Linked DNA regions of Pelodiscus sinensis. The protein of the gene in region 1 purifies or fractionates together with the protein of each later gene. This does not show direct contact. Links are inferred from orthologs where the notes say so. Each region holds a gene or a part of one and is shown in the gene's direction. Other genes may lie near its edges. The genes, in order: KDR and CDH5.

The links.
Region 2: the proteins of KDR (region 1) and CDH5 purify together in Homo sapiens (affinity purification with western blotting; 3 studies listed by BioGRID and IntAct, with this or other methods). This does not show direct contact. The link is inferred for Pelodiscus sinensis from reciprocal best matches to the Homo sapiens genes KDR and CDH5.

The regions. Positions count from the first base shown.
Region 1 is NC_134715.1:85,100,917-85,108,871, forward strand, and holds the start of KDR (vascular endothelial growth factor receptor 2), read left to right. Parts: upstream 1-4,471; 5' UTR 4,472-4,636; coding exon 4,637-4,700; intron 4,701-7,879; coding exon 7,880-7,955. UniProt on the Homo sapiens protein: Tyrosine-protein kinase that acts as a cell-surface receptor for VEGFA, VEGFC and VEGFD. Plays an essential role in the regulation of angiogenesis, vascular development, vascular permeability, and embryonic hematopoiesis.
Region 2 is NC_134722.1:19,395,502-19,403,526, forward strand, and holds the start of CDH5 (cadherin-5), read left to right. Parts: upstream 1-4,276; 5' UTR 4,277-4,455; intron 4,456-8,025. UniProt on the Homo sapiens protein: Cadherins are calcium-dependent cell adhesion proteins. They preferentially interact with themselves in a homophilic manner in connecting cells; cadherins may thus contribute to the sorting of heterogeneous cell types.

The DNA.
Region 1 (7,955 bases):
CCCCACCTCCAGCAAAATCTCTCAGCTCCCATTGGCCAGTCAGGGGCTCCTAAATCCACTAAACAAAGTGACCTGATCTGCAGAAGTGTTGAACATTCAAACATCCCAGTAAAGTCAATGGGAATTTTTGATGCTCAGCACCTCTGAAAATCAGACCATTTTTAAATAGGTAAAATGGGGATTTAGTGCCTAAATGTATGTAGGTGAAATCAGTGGGGGTTAGATGTCTAAATATCATGGAGGATCTGAGCCCTGGTGCTTAGCCATACTTATGTTCATGTGCAGTCTGCATTTGTGCTGCCGTGCTGATAGCCTTGCATTCTGTGCTGCTGGTGCTACTGGGTTGAAGTGGCCCATTGGGAAGATATACACAGAGGCCATTTATAGAGCTCCTGGGCTAAAGCAGCCAAGGCTATGAACCTCAGCACCAGTCCATATCTTCCCCAGGATGTTGTTTGAAATAATTAAGAAAACAAAAGGCTGCTTGTCTGCCCTGCTGCTGCTGGCTGTCCGGGCCAGGCTCCTAAAGCCAGGGTCCTGGCTGGCTGCAAAGTGCTGAGGAGTCGTGACTATGTCAGAGGGGAGAGGGAAGGGGGAATGACTCAGGGGAGCTGCCAGCCTCTGGCCTGATCCCTTTCCAAAAGTCTTTGCTGTTTCTTTGTGTCTTGTATTTAATGAGGTTTTGGCCATCACAGCAGCAGATGCATAAACAAAAGCATGTTGGCCCCTGTTTAGCTAAGGGGAGATGTTTGTCCTCCCCCATTTACACATATCTTGCCCATTGATTGTTTTCAAAATACAGGGTTTTCCTAGTTTAGAGCCTGAGGGAGAGAGAAATGGTTTTTATTAAACTACTGCAGGGAAACAGGTTGACTCTCCAGGGAATAACAACAACAACAAAAAACAAAACAAGGTGATTTGTTGGGAGCCTTCCGTAAGTCCCCTCCAAGTCTGACAAATTATCTCATCTGTGCCACTCTATAAAGAGCCTTCTAGTTCCTGTTTTCGGAGGAAGGCAGAATCAGGCAATCTGAGTCTACTGGATCCTTTAGTCATGAGCTCTCACATGAAGGGCTAAGATGTTCTGTTATGGTCAAGATACATTCAGGCTATGTCTACACTACCAGTTTTCTCTGCAAAAAATATGCTAATGAGGGATTCATTTGCATGAGTCACAATCTCATTTGCATATTTTCTGACGATCTGTTTTTGTGCTAGGGTTTTTGCACAAAAACAAGCAGTGAGGACATTTTATTTTTGCGCAAAAACCCCTTTTTCCACAAGATCGGTAAACCTCCTTTTTTGGGGCATAAGGATCTTGTGGAAAAAGGAGTTTTTGCTCAAAGAGAAAATGTTCAAACTGCTTGTTTTTGCGCAAAAACCACAGTGCAAAAACAGATCAGCAGAAAATATGCAATTGAGATTGCGACTCATGCAAATGAGGCCCTCATTAGCATGCTTTTTGCCGAGAAAACTCGTAGTGTAGACGTAGCCTCAGTGCAGCAACGGGGAAGGCACTCAGGAAGCCAACTATAAGCCTCTGCTTCTCTGGCAGTCCATCTACTTTAGTGTCCTGTTTTTTGACAGTGGCCAGTGCCAGATGTTTCAGGGAGAATGAACAGAACAGGCTGATTTATTGAGTGATCCATCCCCTGTCTTCCCATCCCAACTTCTGGCAGTGAGAGGGCTACGGACACCCAGACCATGGCGTTGAGTCCCCGACCATGTTAGCTAATGACCATGCCCTCCATGACCTTATCTAATTCTTTAGCACAGTTTTACTTTTGCCCTTCACAAGATCCTTTGGCAATGAGTTCCACAGGCTGACAGCATTGGGTGAAAAAATACTTCCTTTTTAAAAAAAAATCTTCCGCCTATTAATTTCATTAGGTAATCACCAAGTACCGTAAAATCTCGAATATAATGCACAATTTTCCCCCGTTTTTTTTAGCATCAAAGTCGGGGTGCGCATTATTTATAGGAGGTTTTTAAAAAAGTTTTAAACTCACCCTCAGCAGGCATGAGCTGGGCGGGGCTGGGCTGAGCTGGGGTGGGGTGGGGCCCCGCAGGCGCGAGCTCAGCGTGCTGTCAGCTGGGCGGGGGACACCCCCCCCCAGCAGGCGCAAGCTTGGCATGCGGACAGCTGGGTTGGAGAGGCTCCCCCAGCAGGTGTGAGCTCAGCCTGCATGAGTTCAGCTGGGCAGGGGGACCCCGCAGCAGGCGCGAGCCCCTTCCTTCCTATGCATACCTTAAAATCTCGAGTATAATGAGGGTGCGGATTATAGATAAGAGTTTAGTTTATTCAAGAATTTTGACCTTTAAAAGGCGGATGCTCATTATACATAGGTGCACATTATACTCCAGATTTTACAGTATCTTGTTATGTGAAGAGGTAAATAACACTTCCTTAATTTGTTCTTTACCAGAACATCCAAAAAGCTGTGGCAAAAGTCACCTTCCTCCCCTGCTATTCAGCCCACATCACTGACTTATTTGTTTCCAGGGATGATCACAGTGTGCTAGACACTAGGGATGTAAAGGGTTAAGTGGGTAACTGGTTAACTGGTGGCCTGGCTGGTCTATGCTGAATTGCTGTGGGCCCAGCCCCGCTTGAGCAGTCCCCCAGGCTCCACCATCCATGGCACAGTTGGTTCAGTCATCCCAGCTTGGGCGGAGCAACCCAGGGTGGAGTAGGAGTTACTGTGTGCAGGGGGCTGGTCCAGCCTGGCTGGGCTGGAGAGACCCCCTTGTCTGTGGGATCCTGGTTAACCCGCTCAATATAACGTTTAACCATTTAACTTTTAAAAAGGGATTTTACATCCCTACTGGACACTGTACAAACAGAAAGGAAGGCACAGTTGCTGTCCCCACTACAAAGATTTTACAATTTAAAAAGGGAGACAAAGGCTCTTTAAAGAAACACATAAGCAATGTGCCCAATGTGGTGATTGGCCTTCCCTTGAGTAGCTTGCTTTTTTGTTTGTTTGTTTGTTTGTTTCACAAACATACACCCTGTCTCCAGTTGCCTCTCAATCTTGTCTTGCAAGAAGGGAGCTGGTTAAAAGGTGGAGACAGGAACCATATGCAGTAGTACTATATGTAGACAGGCTGTGACTGCCAGACATTAAAAGTCTATGTAGGACTTGTGGGGGAACAGGAGTGCCTGGGCAGAGAACAAGTGCAGAGGGAGCCCAGTGATACACTTGTCTACACATACTGCTGCATAGATTGATGTCCTGGGATTCGATTTAACGTGTCTAGAAAAGACCTGCTAATTTGATCGCTGATCACGCTCCTGTCGACTCTGATAATCCACTGGACCAAGAAGAGAAAGGGAAGTTGATGAGAGAGTTTTTCCTGTTGAGCCCTCAAAGTAGGGATGCTGTGGTAAGTTGTAGCTGTAGCTATTCATGTAGCTAGACTTGCGTATCTTAGTTTGACATTGCTCGCTAGTCTGGACTTGGCCTATATGAGCCTGCCTGGAAACCCACAAGATCCTATTTGATATGAATAACAGAGACTGGACCAGAGAGGGCACCTTAGGCATTAGGTCTGAAGAGCCCCCACTCTTTACTGCACCACCTCCAAGGACCCAAATGCTTACAATAATTGCTCACTTAGAATTGCAACTTTTTAATCCAAGGCTCTGTACAGAGGGTATTTGCAAGTTTTCCTTTTCCTTCCAGCCCAAGTAAAATATCCTTTCCCTTAGCTGTGATGTCTGAGTAGTTTGGGAACCCCCCAGGGCTAGTGCTTACAAGATCTTGCTGCTGAAGCACATATAGTTTATGTTCAGGAATTGTACTTGAAGCCAGCAGTCTTTAACTGGCTATATGATCCAAATTGATTGTCTCTGGGCTGTTATTCTCTAATAAAGCCTGCTGACTGGGATGGATTAAGCAAAATGCATCAGTGTTTGCAGTGAATCTCATAGACTTTAGGATCAAAAGGGACCATCATGATCTAGTTGCCTGCACATTGCAAGTTGCAAAATTCTCTCCCATTCCTGTAATTAGTGGTGCCGTGGCAATGCTGAAGGTGGAAATCATGGATTTGGGTTGTCATTATTGTTTCAAGCCAGGTAGTGTGGCAGTACCTGCAGCACCCCCATTCCAACACCTATGTCTGTAATTAAACCCCAGGCTCTGAAGTCCTCAAATCATGATGTTAAGACTCTGCAGGATCAGCCAAGTGCTTAAAGAAGCAGATGCACCAGCCCCCTCCATGGTTAAGCCCCACTGAAGGCAGGGGAGGTGAGAGGCCGAGGGTTGGTCACTCGATAAAAGCCCATCTGTCTGAGCGCTGCAAGCTGGGGGCGAAGGGCGCTGCTGGGCCACTACACTGCAGCGGGCTGAGCGGCCACGTGCGCCCAGGCCCCAGGGGAGGCGGGGCGAGGGGAAGGCCGGGGGCGGGCAGGTGGGAGGCACCGCAGGAGTCTGTCTCCTCCCCCGGAATAAAGAAGAGGCGCTGCGGGCGCCGGCTGCGATGCCCTGGCACAGCCCCAGCTCGCGCGGAGCGGCCCTGCCCGCACCCAGGGCGCAGAGACTCGCCCCAGCGGCACCAGGATTAGCGCCCGCCCGCCCGCTCTGCGCACAAGGCGCCGCTGGCAGCAGCCGGAGCCCGCTCCCGGGGGGCGATGGAGGACGCGGTGGCGGTGGCGCTGGCGCTGCTGCTGTGGCTGGGGAGCCCGCCGGCTGCAGGTGAGGGGCGCGCGGGGAGCCCGGGGGGTTCCGGCCCATGGAGCGCAGATGCGGGGAGACCAGGCTGGGCAGGCGCGCCGGGAAGTGCCAGAGCCTCGGGGCAGATGCTCTGATGGGAGCAGCCGGGCGAGGGCTAACCCCGGAGATGCAGCAGGGCCCGATCCTGCTGCCGTGGGAAGCGACGGGAGGTTTGTCCCAGCCCCCAAAGCGAACCGCATGGAGCCAGAACATAGGGACTGGGGCAGGCGGAATAAACCCCCCGGGGAAATCCTGCCCCTGTTGAAGTCAATGGGGGGTTTGGTCTTGGCTTCAGTAGAGGGAGGATTTCACCCTATGCCCCTGGCTTGTGTTGCCTGGTGACCTGGGGACGGTCTTCTTGGGTGAGTTGAGAAAGGGAAGCCAAGGGAGTCACCCCCATTTATAGCTCCAGCTGAGATTTTGCCTACGGAGCTTGTTAAAGGTCTTAGCCTTGGCCATGGCCTCCTCCTTCCCCTGAGGTCTCCAGAGGAAGAGGCTGTTCCTTATTCCTGCTCAGGTGCTGCAAAGGACAGGACATCCTGTGCCTTGCACGAGAGAATAGGCAGGTGCACAGGCCATGGCTTTACCAGGAGAATTTGGAGTGACCATGCAGGCTGATCAGCATGTGTAGAGATGGAGCCATAATTTCATCCCTGCATCTTTTGTAGAAAACTCACCAAGCGCCAGGCAGTTTTGCCAAACTTTCCCATGGCCAAGGCAGATCTTAACGAAAAGGGGGGAATGGGGAAACAAGATGGGGGAAAAGGAGTTTCCTTCTGTCTGTGAGGAGCTAACAATATGCTGTGCAAGACACAAAATACAACTAACTCCTGCCTCTACAGCCTAAACAAGAATGAGTGGAGTGCCTGGAAATAATCACCTGTTCACTATACCGTTGTCTTGGGAATAAGTGGTACAAAATTCTTGAAATTCAACATGATACATTTATGCTATTCTCTTTCTCATTAAAGGAGGCTATTTAGACTGAGACTAAGCCCAGTGATAACAATCATACTGAAATTAATATTTTAGCAGAAATTAAATAAATTGGGATGACTTGGAAGTTAACTAAAATAATGCCTGTGTCTAACACAAAAATAACCTTTTTTGGCTATTCTAATATGGATATTCATATAATTAAAATTATGCTTGTGTTTGGAACTCAAACATTTTGACTATTATAATATGGATATTAATTTAATACCAAACATTTGCATGTTTACACAACAAGTAATACTATTTTATTGATCCTCATATTTGTATATCATGTTTTTTTTGAAGTGCATATGTAAGTTACCAATGTATTTTCTTTTGGAATACTCTCCTTAGAGATATGCATAAGAGTAATTTTAGTTCATGGCATGATGTTTCACCTTGAAGAAAACAATCTAGCCATACAATGGTCAGTTTGACTAAGGCTGAACATTCTTGACTAAATGGAGCTTATTTTACTTTAGTTTTTACGTCTAACAAAGCAACACTGAATGAGAATAAAATCTCAGTTTTAGTATCGAACACTTCTAGGGACTCTTATTTAGCTGTACACTAGTTTTGTTGAAGGCACGCAAATGGGAGGAGGATTTAGTCCAGAAAGATTTAAACCTGTTTGCTGGACGATTAGATTAGATAAATCATTATTTGCAAATCCTATGATAAAGAGTAAGTTATAAATTTGATTTGATTTTCCTTCTTAATTCAAATTTTTACCTTAGTGATGGCTTTCTACAGTAAAGTGCAACAGAAATCAATTATCTGAACCCTATTGTCAAAGAATCTCTGTAGGAAAGGTTTGATAAAAATATGATGAAATTGTGGCGAGATAGTGAAGCCCCTAGCTCTAGGATGACTTTACTGTCAGTGAGGCAGAGCTCCACAGCTGCTTGGCACTACAGCCAGGGCAGAGCTTTGTAGCCACCTGGCTCCACAGCTGGGGCTGGAGCTCTGTGGCTGGGGTGGAGGGATGGGGACAGAGCTCCGCGGCCCAGGCCAGAGCTCCCTGGCTGCTGGGGCTGGAGTTCTGTGGCTGCTGGAGCCAGAATGCAGCAGGAGCTCCATAGCTGGAACCAAGAGCTCTCTGGCTGCCGCTGGGGTCAGAGCTCCCTGGCCAGGGCCAGGCCTGGCTGCTGCTGGGGCCAGGGAGCTCAGCTGGGGCCAGAACTCCCTGCCATGCTGTCTCTCCTCCCCCACCGCACATACACACTCTGGACTCCCGGTTGAGTCGCCGGTGCCCCTTACAGTGTTCCTGCCAGACTGCCCTCTTCCTGGGCTCTATGGTCCAGGAATATCTGTGGTCTAGGATGGACCACGGACGATGCTGAACCAGGGAGTCCTGGTTAAAGGAGGTCCAGTCTGTACCATCGCTGTTCATTTTATTGTGCACGTTCACTCATTTGCTCCTTGTACATCTGAATTTGCATTAAGTACGCCGTGTTGTCTGGCCAAGGCAATGTTTCAGAACTTACTCAGATATGTGTACTCATCCTTTACTGACACAGAATTCCCAAAGGGAGTGAGTATGATAATAAATGGCAAAAACATCTCATTGTGTTCTTTGAAAGGTTGCATGGGCAGGACAGTTACATCAGAACAAATATTGGAAATTATCTGCAAGCTTTAACTGACATGAGTATTCTCCCCGAATGCCGTGGAACCAATCACCTAAATAAGGTTTGATAGAAACAGGTTTTCTTAGGGTTTCAAGCAACAAAGGAGATACATTAGAAAATGCGATAAAGGAAAACAAGACTGGGTCAAATGACCTTGAGTTTATGATGCACTATGCAAAATAATTTAGCAGAATTCATTAATCAGCAGCCTTGGCAAATGTATGTATTCAATTTACTATAAGAGTTTTCCCAAGGGAGTGAGATCATCAGATGAAGGTTCACTTTATTTCAATGTCCCATATCCTTTTGTTAGACCTTGAAGTTGGTAATGCAAAAAAACAGGAACTCCACCCGAGCTTTATGAATTGCAGAGCTATTCTGCTAGCTCATGACCATCTGCCCATTCTTCCTGTTATGACAGAGCTCGTGAACTTCTACTGGGATGTGTGAAAAGCTGTAGAACATTTAACACATTAAACAAATAGGTCAACTTAAAACATGCTCTCTTTCCCCTTTTTTGCAGTGATTTTCTGATTTATTGCTTTTCTTTTGCAGGCTTGTTTATTTCTCCAGATCAGCCAAGTCTTAGCATACAAAAAGATATCCTTGCAATAACTGCAAATGATACTCT
Region 2 (8,025 bases), on another chromosome or scaffold:
ACAGCATGCAGAGCAGCTGCTGAACATCCAAGGGGCAAAGACTAGGAAGGGAGCAAAGCTGTCAGGGTGAAAAAACTGGCTCCAGTTAACTGAAAAATGTGTTGTGGAACAAATGTTGAAGAGATATGTCATCAGTGGAAAAGGCTGAATGCTCCTTCAGGTAGAAGAGATTTACAGTTGCAGACAACTGCCATGGGTCCTTAGTGACTAGTTCAGCATCTTTTATTGGCACAAAGTCTGAGTCCTCTGAGCCCTTCCATCTTCTAATTCTCCTCCACTCTGAATGGATCACATTACTCACTGAGGATTCCATGCACTGTCTACACATTCCCATCTACTTCTAGAAAGTTTTTCTGTTTAAACACAGAGGTCTACAGTTTTGAACTTGTCTGCTTAAAGTTTGGTACCTCAGTAAAAGCATACCAACCATATGCAATTTTGGATTGCATTAACAGAGGCAAATCATGCAAATCACAGAAGGTGATAGCATGGATGGTGGGTGAACAGCTGGCTTGGAGAGGCAAGCCCAGCCCCTTCCATGCCCGCTAGAGCCCACACAGCCCCCACTACAGCCACTGACCCTTGCCCCATGCTCCCCAAGTTCTCCATTGTGGCTGCTCGCTGGCTACCAAGGTGGGTGGCATGAAGTGCCAGGTTGCTGGGCATTGTAGCTGCTGGCCCTTTCTCTGTACTCCCAGCCTATCTGACCCCAAAGCTCCAGGTGTCCCAGTCTTCCCAACCCTGAGGCACCAGGCAGATGCACAGTGCCTACCTTCCAGGACCCAGAGCACTGGGTGGCCAGGTGGCCAGGCTGCCACACAGCCCCAGTCTTCCCAGCTCAGGGTAGCCATACACCCAGCCTTTCTGGCCCCAGAGCTATTAGCTGTGTAGCTGCCTGGCTGCATCAGCCTTCCCAGTGCCAGAGCACCAGGCAGACAGGAAGCATGGGCTACACTGTCAGACCCGACACCCAGGTGTCCCGCTTCCTTCTAGCCACCAGCCCCAGCACTGGGCAAAGAGCAGGTTGCAGCATTCAGGTAAGGAAGGGTCCTAACCTGGGGTGGAGCATGGGTGGAGTTACCTATGTCAGTTTGGGTAGGACATTCCTTCTCTTGCCTTCATTACCCACCTCTCATGGGTGATAGGATACATGAGATGCTAATGAGGCCTCAGCTGGAGTTTCCAGTGTTGGTCACAGCTGTCTGGAAAGGATGTAGAGAAACTGGAAAGTATCCAGAGGAGAGCAATAAAGCTGATCAAAGGGATGGAAGTGAGCAAAGACAGAAGGAGCTGGGTATGTTTAGTTTGGGAAAGAGGAGATTGGTGGGGACATGATAGCAGTGTTTCATATACTTGAAAGGCTGCCATAAAAAAAAAAAAAAAGATGAAGGAAAGTTGTTTGCTCTGGCCAAAGAGGGCAAGACAAGAGGCAATGGATTCAAACTTGAAGTAGGAATAAGAGCCTCCGGAAAAGGGCGCTTTTTCCGGAGGATCAGGGCCAGTGTAGACGCTCTTTTCCGGCTTTTAAAAAAGCCGGAAAAAAGCGGCGGACATTTTTATTTAAATGCCGCGGGGGATATTTAAATCCCCCGCGGATTTCCCTACGACGACTGGTGAAATTTACATGCCCCTTCCGGAAAAGGGGCCAGTGTAGACGTAGCCCAAGTGTTCAACACCCCTGAAAATCCACTTTAATTAGATGCCTCTGGAGTTTATTGCCCAGAAAGCACAACTGTGAGAAAGACTAAGTTCCTGAAAGTTTAGGAGATTGTCTGGTTTTGGTTAAGTATCCAAAGATAGTTTATCCTAAAATATCCAAGCTCAAATTACCTCATAATAATGTTTTAAATCCTATAGGGTTCCATAGAGATAAAATCTATAGAGTGAGAAAAGGGTCAGTGGAAATTTAATAAGGTTTTTAGACTCTAAATGCTAATAGAAAAATAGTGTTACTTGGTTTTGATTTTTCCCACTATCCTTCAGAATGCTGAGGCAGACAATTCTCCATTAATTTCTATAGGATCCGAAGGAAAATATTGGTTTGTAGTCCCTGCATACATATGGGAAGAAAGGGCAGCTAAAATAGCTTCTCTGAGATGTGGCCAAATTGTCACTATTGGACTCCTCCAATGCCCACTATAGGCAAAGGAAATATTCCCATTGACTTCTGTAGACTCTGAATAAAGGCTTTAAGTGAGACAGAAGTTGATTATGACTATATGGATTTGGCAAAACTTGGACTAGAAATTACCTGTAAAGACGACATTATTATGTTTTAAGCAACCATCCTTTGTTAAACAAAGATCATTCTGTCAATCCAAAAAATAGAGTTATTTGCAAATATAAACACTAGCTACAACTGTCATCTGCTCTGGGTACCAGAGTCTATTGCCTAAGCTGCATCATCTGCAGATGACTGTTTTCCAGTGAACTGCAGTTAACATCCTCCCCATCTCTCCTTCTCCTCTTCACTCAGCAGTGAAATAGAAACTGCTTATTTTCTTATGAGGAAACCTAATTATAATCAGTCTCCTTAAAGAAGACTTTGAAAAATATCCGCTCATTAGGTGCTTAACCTTCCTGAATAATTAATGTATCAAAATTTTAAAAGAGCTATTCATCTTTGCCACTGCATGTCATAAAAATGTGAAATAATGTAACCAAAGACCAGTCTTCTAGAAAACTGGAAAAATCAATCCCATTACCTTTGCTAAATTGTGATGAAGCATAGGGGCAAGCGAGTATTTCACTGCAGGATGTTATTATTTAAAGTCTTCTATAAAATATGTTGCACATTTGGCTACATTTATTATAACATACCTGTAAGACCTCAGACATTGGTCTCTTTTTAATCTCATGCTTCTCAGAGTTGCTCCTGAATTATTTAATAAAGTAATTCCTCTCTGGCTTGCAGGGTAAAAGAAATAGCGGGTCTACATTTTCTTCTTTGCATTTAGGGTAGGAGGAGAAATTAAAGTATATGTTGCTGTCCCAGAACAGAGCACAAATATTCTATGGACTTGTATCCACTACGCTGGGCATCGACACTACAGCAATTGATTTACTGGCTGTTAATTTATTGTGTCTGGTTAAATAAATTGATCTCCGAGTGCTCCCCAGTCGATGCCAATACTCCACCAGGATGAGAAGAGTAGTTGGTGTCAATGGCAGAGTAGCCCCTGCTGACCTTACTGCACACAAGACACTGTGGTAAGTATGTTGACTTTAGCTATGCTATTTGCATAGCTGAATTCACGTAGATTAGATCGACAGTGGGGGTTAGTGTAGACGAGGCCTATGTGAGCTCTATGAAGACCCATCTGCTTCTCACACTGAACTACCTTAACTTTCATGGGTGCAATGCCCATTAAACTCACTGTGGTCTAAACCTGGGAAACTCCCATTGGACTGCAACAGAAGAATAAATCAGGTCCACAAGCATAATTGCAACCACTCAACTTGGAATGTTTAACTTTCCCCCTTCCCTCTCCCTAAATATTCATCAGCTTTAAAAATTGCAATGCAACAATTTAATTCAAAAGTTTTCCCATTAGAGTTTTTTTCTTAAATTTTGAGGTCTCTTTAGTGCTTTGCAACTAAATCCGAACAGCAGCATTTCTGTGTCCTTCCTGTACAGGTGGAAATGAATATACAAAGTGCAAGGCAGAGGAGAATCATGCCCTAAATTGAAGACATGCAACCAAATTGTGCTCTCAAACATACCGGTGTGAACCACAGTTGCTTCAAATCTATACTGCTGTTGTCAAGAGCAGAATTTGACTCATGTTTATTTTCCAAAATTTCAGTATACACCAATCTACTAAATATTTTTTCATGCCACTAGCAAACTCATCAATTCTGCACCAAGGGAAGTAGTGGAAGTTTATGGGAACTCCCAACTGACTGATGAGCACTTCATTCATCATTGTTTCTGGTGTACAAATCCTGATGGCTTTGACTTACTAAAATATTGAAGAATCTTGTTCCATTTGAACACAAAACATTTGAAAATAAACCATACTAAGTATTCATTCTGGGATTGTTTTAAACTGTTTAGTACTAAACATATTAAGCACCAGCACTGGTTTGTATTTCTGGTAGAGTCCATTTCCCTTTATTCAGATACTTATTTGTTGTCCCTCTGAAAAGGTAAGCATAGTAATAATAAGCCTAAGTTTATCTGGTTTCCTCCACTCTTTTCTGTCATTGGCATTACTAAGGTTTGGAACAATAACAGGATGCTGGCATGCAGGATGGGAAAAGGCTGACTCCCAGCTGGGGAACCTTGGAGATTGGAAAGCTGAACACTCCCAGAATTGCTTAATGACAATGAAAACTGATTTTTTTGTTACTTGTTCTTCACTCTGAGTAGTGCTGTGTAGATTTCTGGATACTTTTGATTTAGTTTGTCTAACTTTGGATAAAAGTAAAGCTTCACCGCCTCTTGTGTAACAGGTAAGGGACAGTGGAGTACTCTTTCTCTTTTCAAGTAAATTTTAAGGGCTTTTATTGCTTTGATTTCTGTTTAAAGTTCTGAGATGGACTATTTACTTAATATTCTGTCATTAGATATCTTTGCAGCATCCTCTAAGGTGATCCTGCTGTAACTTGGGCATAATTCTATTGGCATCAGTGGAGATACTATTAGTTTACACTGGCATGAAATTAAAATCAGGTTCTCTGAGGCTACAGAAAAATACTCTCACACTGTAAGGAGTATTTAGACTTGAAGAAATATATCTTTTTTATACCTGTGGTTCATGATGCAAGCTGAGATACCAGGATATGCTGTCACTGGGCTTTTACAAGGAGACATAATAACAGAATCAATACTACAAAATGTATCTGGGGACCTTTCAGCTGCAGTGCAGACAGTAATAGGCTTACTAGTTTGTCATTGGAAAAAATGTATGCTATGTTATATCTGGCTTCCTTCAGACATAAATACATTGGCTCAAGGTTGCAGAGTTCCTTGGGTATTCTTACCTACTTAAAATTGTGAAAGGAATATTACTGCTATTGGAGCTAAGAACCAAAAAGTTAGAGCTCTCATGTTCAAAAGGCAACTCTATGCAGATTTCACATAGCTGGAACTACATATGTGTAAAGACAAGGCACTTTAAATCACTTATAAGTGATTTAAAGCTTCAAAAGGGACTCAGGCAAATAGGAATATAAGTCCCCATTGACTTTCAATGAGATTTTGGGGCCTAAGTTCCTGGGCAACTTTTAAAAATGGGACTCAGGTGCTTCTGAAAATGTTACCCTTGATGTTCTAAGTTCCATTTAATTATACCTAATCCCTACAATCATCTGTTGGTCTGGAAGTAGAAGCTTCTGGCTCTCAGCTCTCCAAACTTACTAGTTTTTTGGTAAGTTACTTTATGGAGAGGGCCTTGAAACAGGAAAACCGCTGACAGAGCTTTTATGTTGTTATAACTATAATGTTTATAGTTATAGTAGCAGGTCCCTCAGTTGTATTTTTCCATGCAACTTGCAAAGACACAAATGTTTATGAATAAGAGTGGAATCAATGCATCTTTGTGTCTGTTGGAATTATAGTCAGGGAGGACTATACCTCACCGTGCTGCATGCCATGCTACAGGAAAGAATGTGAAATTCAAGAAAAAAAAATGTGGAATAGGCTGCTTTTGTGAATAGTTCTCCGATCTTAAATATTAAATATTAAAATTGTGATTTTTCTATAGGGCTAGATGCAGGGCTCAGTACTGAACATGCTTAAGCAGAAGGTGTTTCACAAACAGTTAACGGTTATGAAGGTATTTGTCAAAATAATATGTTTGCCTCATATCCTGCTTTTGTTGAAGTAGAATAGAGTAATTAAAAACAGGATATATGTGAAGGGACTTGTATAATTTCTGCCTTGGAAGCTCATATGATTGTAGCTTTTGCTGAGCTTGGCTATATAAACATAAAATAATATTTAAAAGAAAACAAATCTTCCTTTTCCAGTGAAAAATAGAAAAAATAAACTATTTCTTGTCTGCAAGATGGGGTTTAAAATCAAGCAAATAGTGGTGGTTGGGTTTTCAAAAAGGATTAGTCTAAAGTTTTACCATTTATACATCATTTTTGTTTCTAATGTAAGTGTATCCACATTCCAGATCACTTTGGAGCTTAATTTAGATAGATTCAAACTCTAATGACAAGTGGGGAAAAATGTCTTTCATGAGATGTGTGAACTGGAAATATTTTGTGTTGGAGGAAAGCATTTTAAAAAGGTGCACAAAGTACTTTTCACTCTTCATTCCAGTATGTTTAAAATGAGAGGAGCCCCAATTGCTGAGCACATATGTTGGTAGAATTAATTTCCTTTTTGCACTGTTATGTGTCAGTCATTATTTGTGCAAACTAGAGATGTGCCCAAGAAATAGGGGGAGGAGGGAGATTTGCAAGGCACAAAAAGCGGACGGGCACCCAAGACACACTGACTTTCATTGGAAGCTGGATGCTTACCTCCTATTTACGCCTTTGAAAATCCTTCCAAGAATTTGGATTTAGATCTGGATTCCAAACAGACCTTGACTTCACTCAGATGCAGGGATACAAGTGTGGCCTACTACAAAGATAGCAGCTGTTTGCTTACCTCAATTCTGGATTTAGATTTGAAATGACGACAACGTTTTGGAGCGATCAAGTCTGGGAGAACTGGTTTAGTGTCATATTTACTACCAACATCAAAACACAAGGACCCACCATAATGACGGTCACAAGTCATGGTGATCTGAAGCCACCATTTCACCTTATGTGAGCAGTTTTATAGTTCTGAGATCCATTCTCAAAAATACTACTGGGAAACGTACTTCCAGAATTCTTGGTATTGTAGTGGAAACACGGAAAGGAACAATGCCATGGTTAAGGCTGCATACAACTAAAATATTTCAGTTATCAGGGGGTTTCCATTAACATTTTCTTTTGTTTCTGAATTTCACAACCCACTCATATCCCAATTTCTGCTTTGAGTTTGGGGTTTGTTCAAATCCCCAAACTCAAATCCCATAAAAAACTGCTAAGTTTTCCATTAAAGGCTACAGCTTCAAGGCAAAAACATAAATTGGCCCATTCACTGACCTTATGTTTACTCAACCAGATTGTGAGCTTTAAATATACCTTATAGCAAGCTTGTTCAAATTTGTAACAAAGCATGAAACCAGGCAAATTGAGGGATGTATGGGTTTTTTTAACACATTTTTCAGAGCCCTGTGACATACTTTCAAGAATATGTTACTATCTTCTGGAGCTTATTTTATTGCATGAAATATCAATATGGCAGGCAGATATGGTATTTTGGGCCTGACCCTCTAAAGTGTTGTGCATCCTTAATTCCCCTAAACATTCACTTGAACTAAAAGTTCTCAGGAAACATTCAACACCAGACCCTGCATAAGTCCAAATTCCATGAAACTCATGAAAGTCAATGAGCTGGAAAGATACATATACACACACCATGTTTTGTCTTGTGGCTGATTCCACTGAAAGGCAGTTGCTGTTATTTAATGTCCATTTCAGGCACAGCGTGAATTTAGCATTCCCTAGTATATATGGGACACAATAAGTTATTGTGAAAAATAATTTGGAGAAAAAAGTCAACTTTCTGCAATCAGGCTGCTGAGTCACTTCAATTCACATGAGAGTTTCAGTAACAGAAAACAGTAGCTGCACTAAGGAACAAAGCTCAGAACAGATATATTTGTGTGGCAAATGCTCTCAAAAGTTAGGACTACTAGGTAAAAGTATGATTAATACTACATTTGAAAGGACAGAAACATTCCACTTGCAGGGGAAAGCTTGCTACTTTGGAGGATAGAGAAAAGTATTGTTACCAGAGATGCACCATTTAAAGTCAGCTCATTCACAGGCCAGTATTATCAAAGGTATTGTGCTGCCATAGCACCATGGTCTCAAATGGGTAGCGTAGTTGCAAAGTCACACTCCAGCTAAACAGGGGCCAAAGCAGAATCTGATCCCATTTGAATTTCTGGTAGGTATTTGGAATCTAAACCC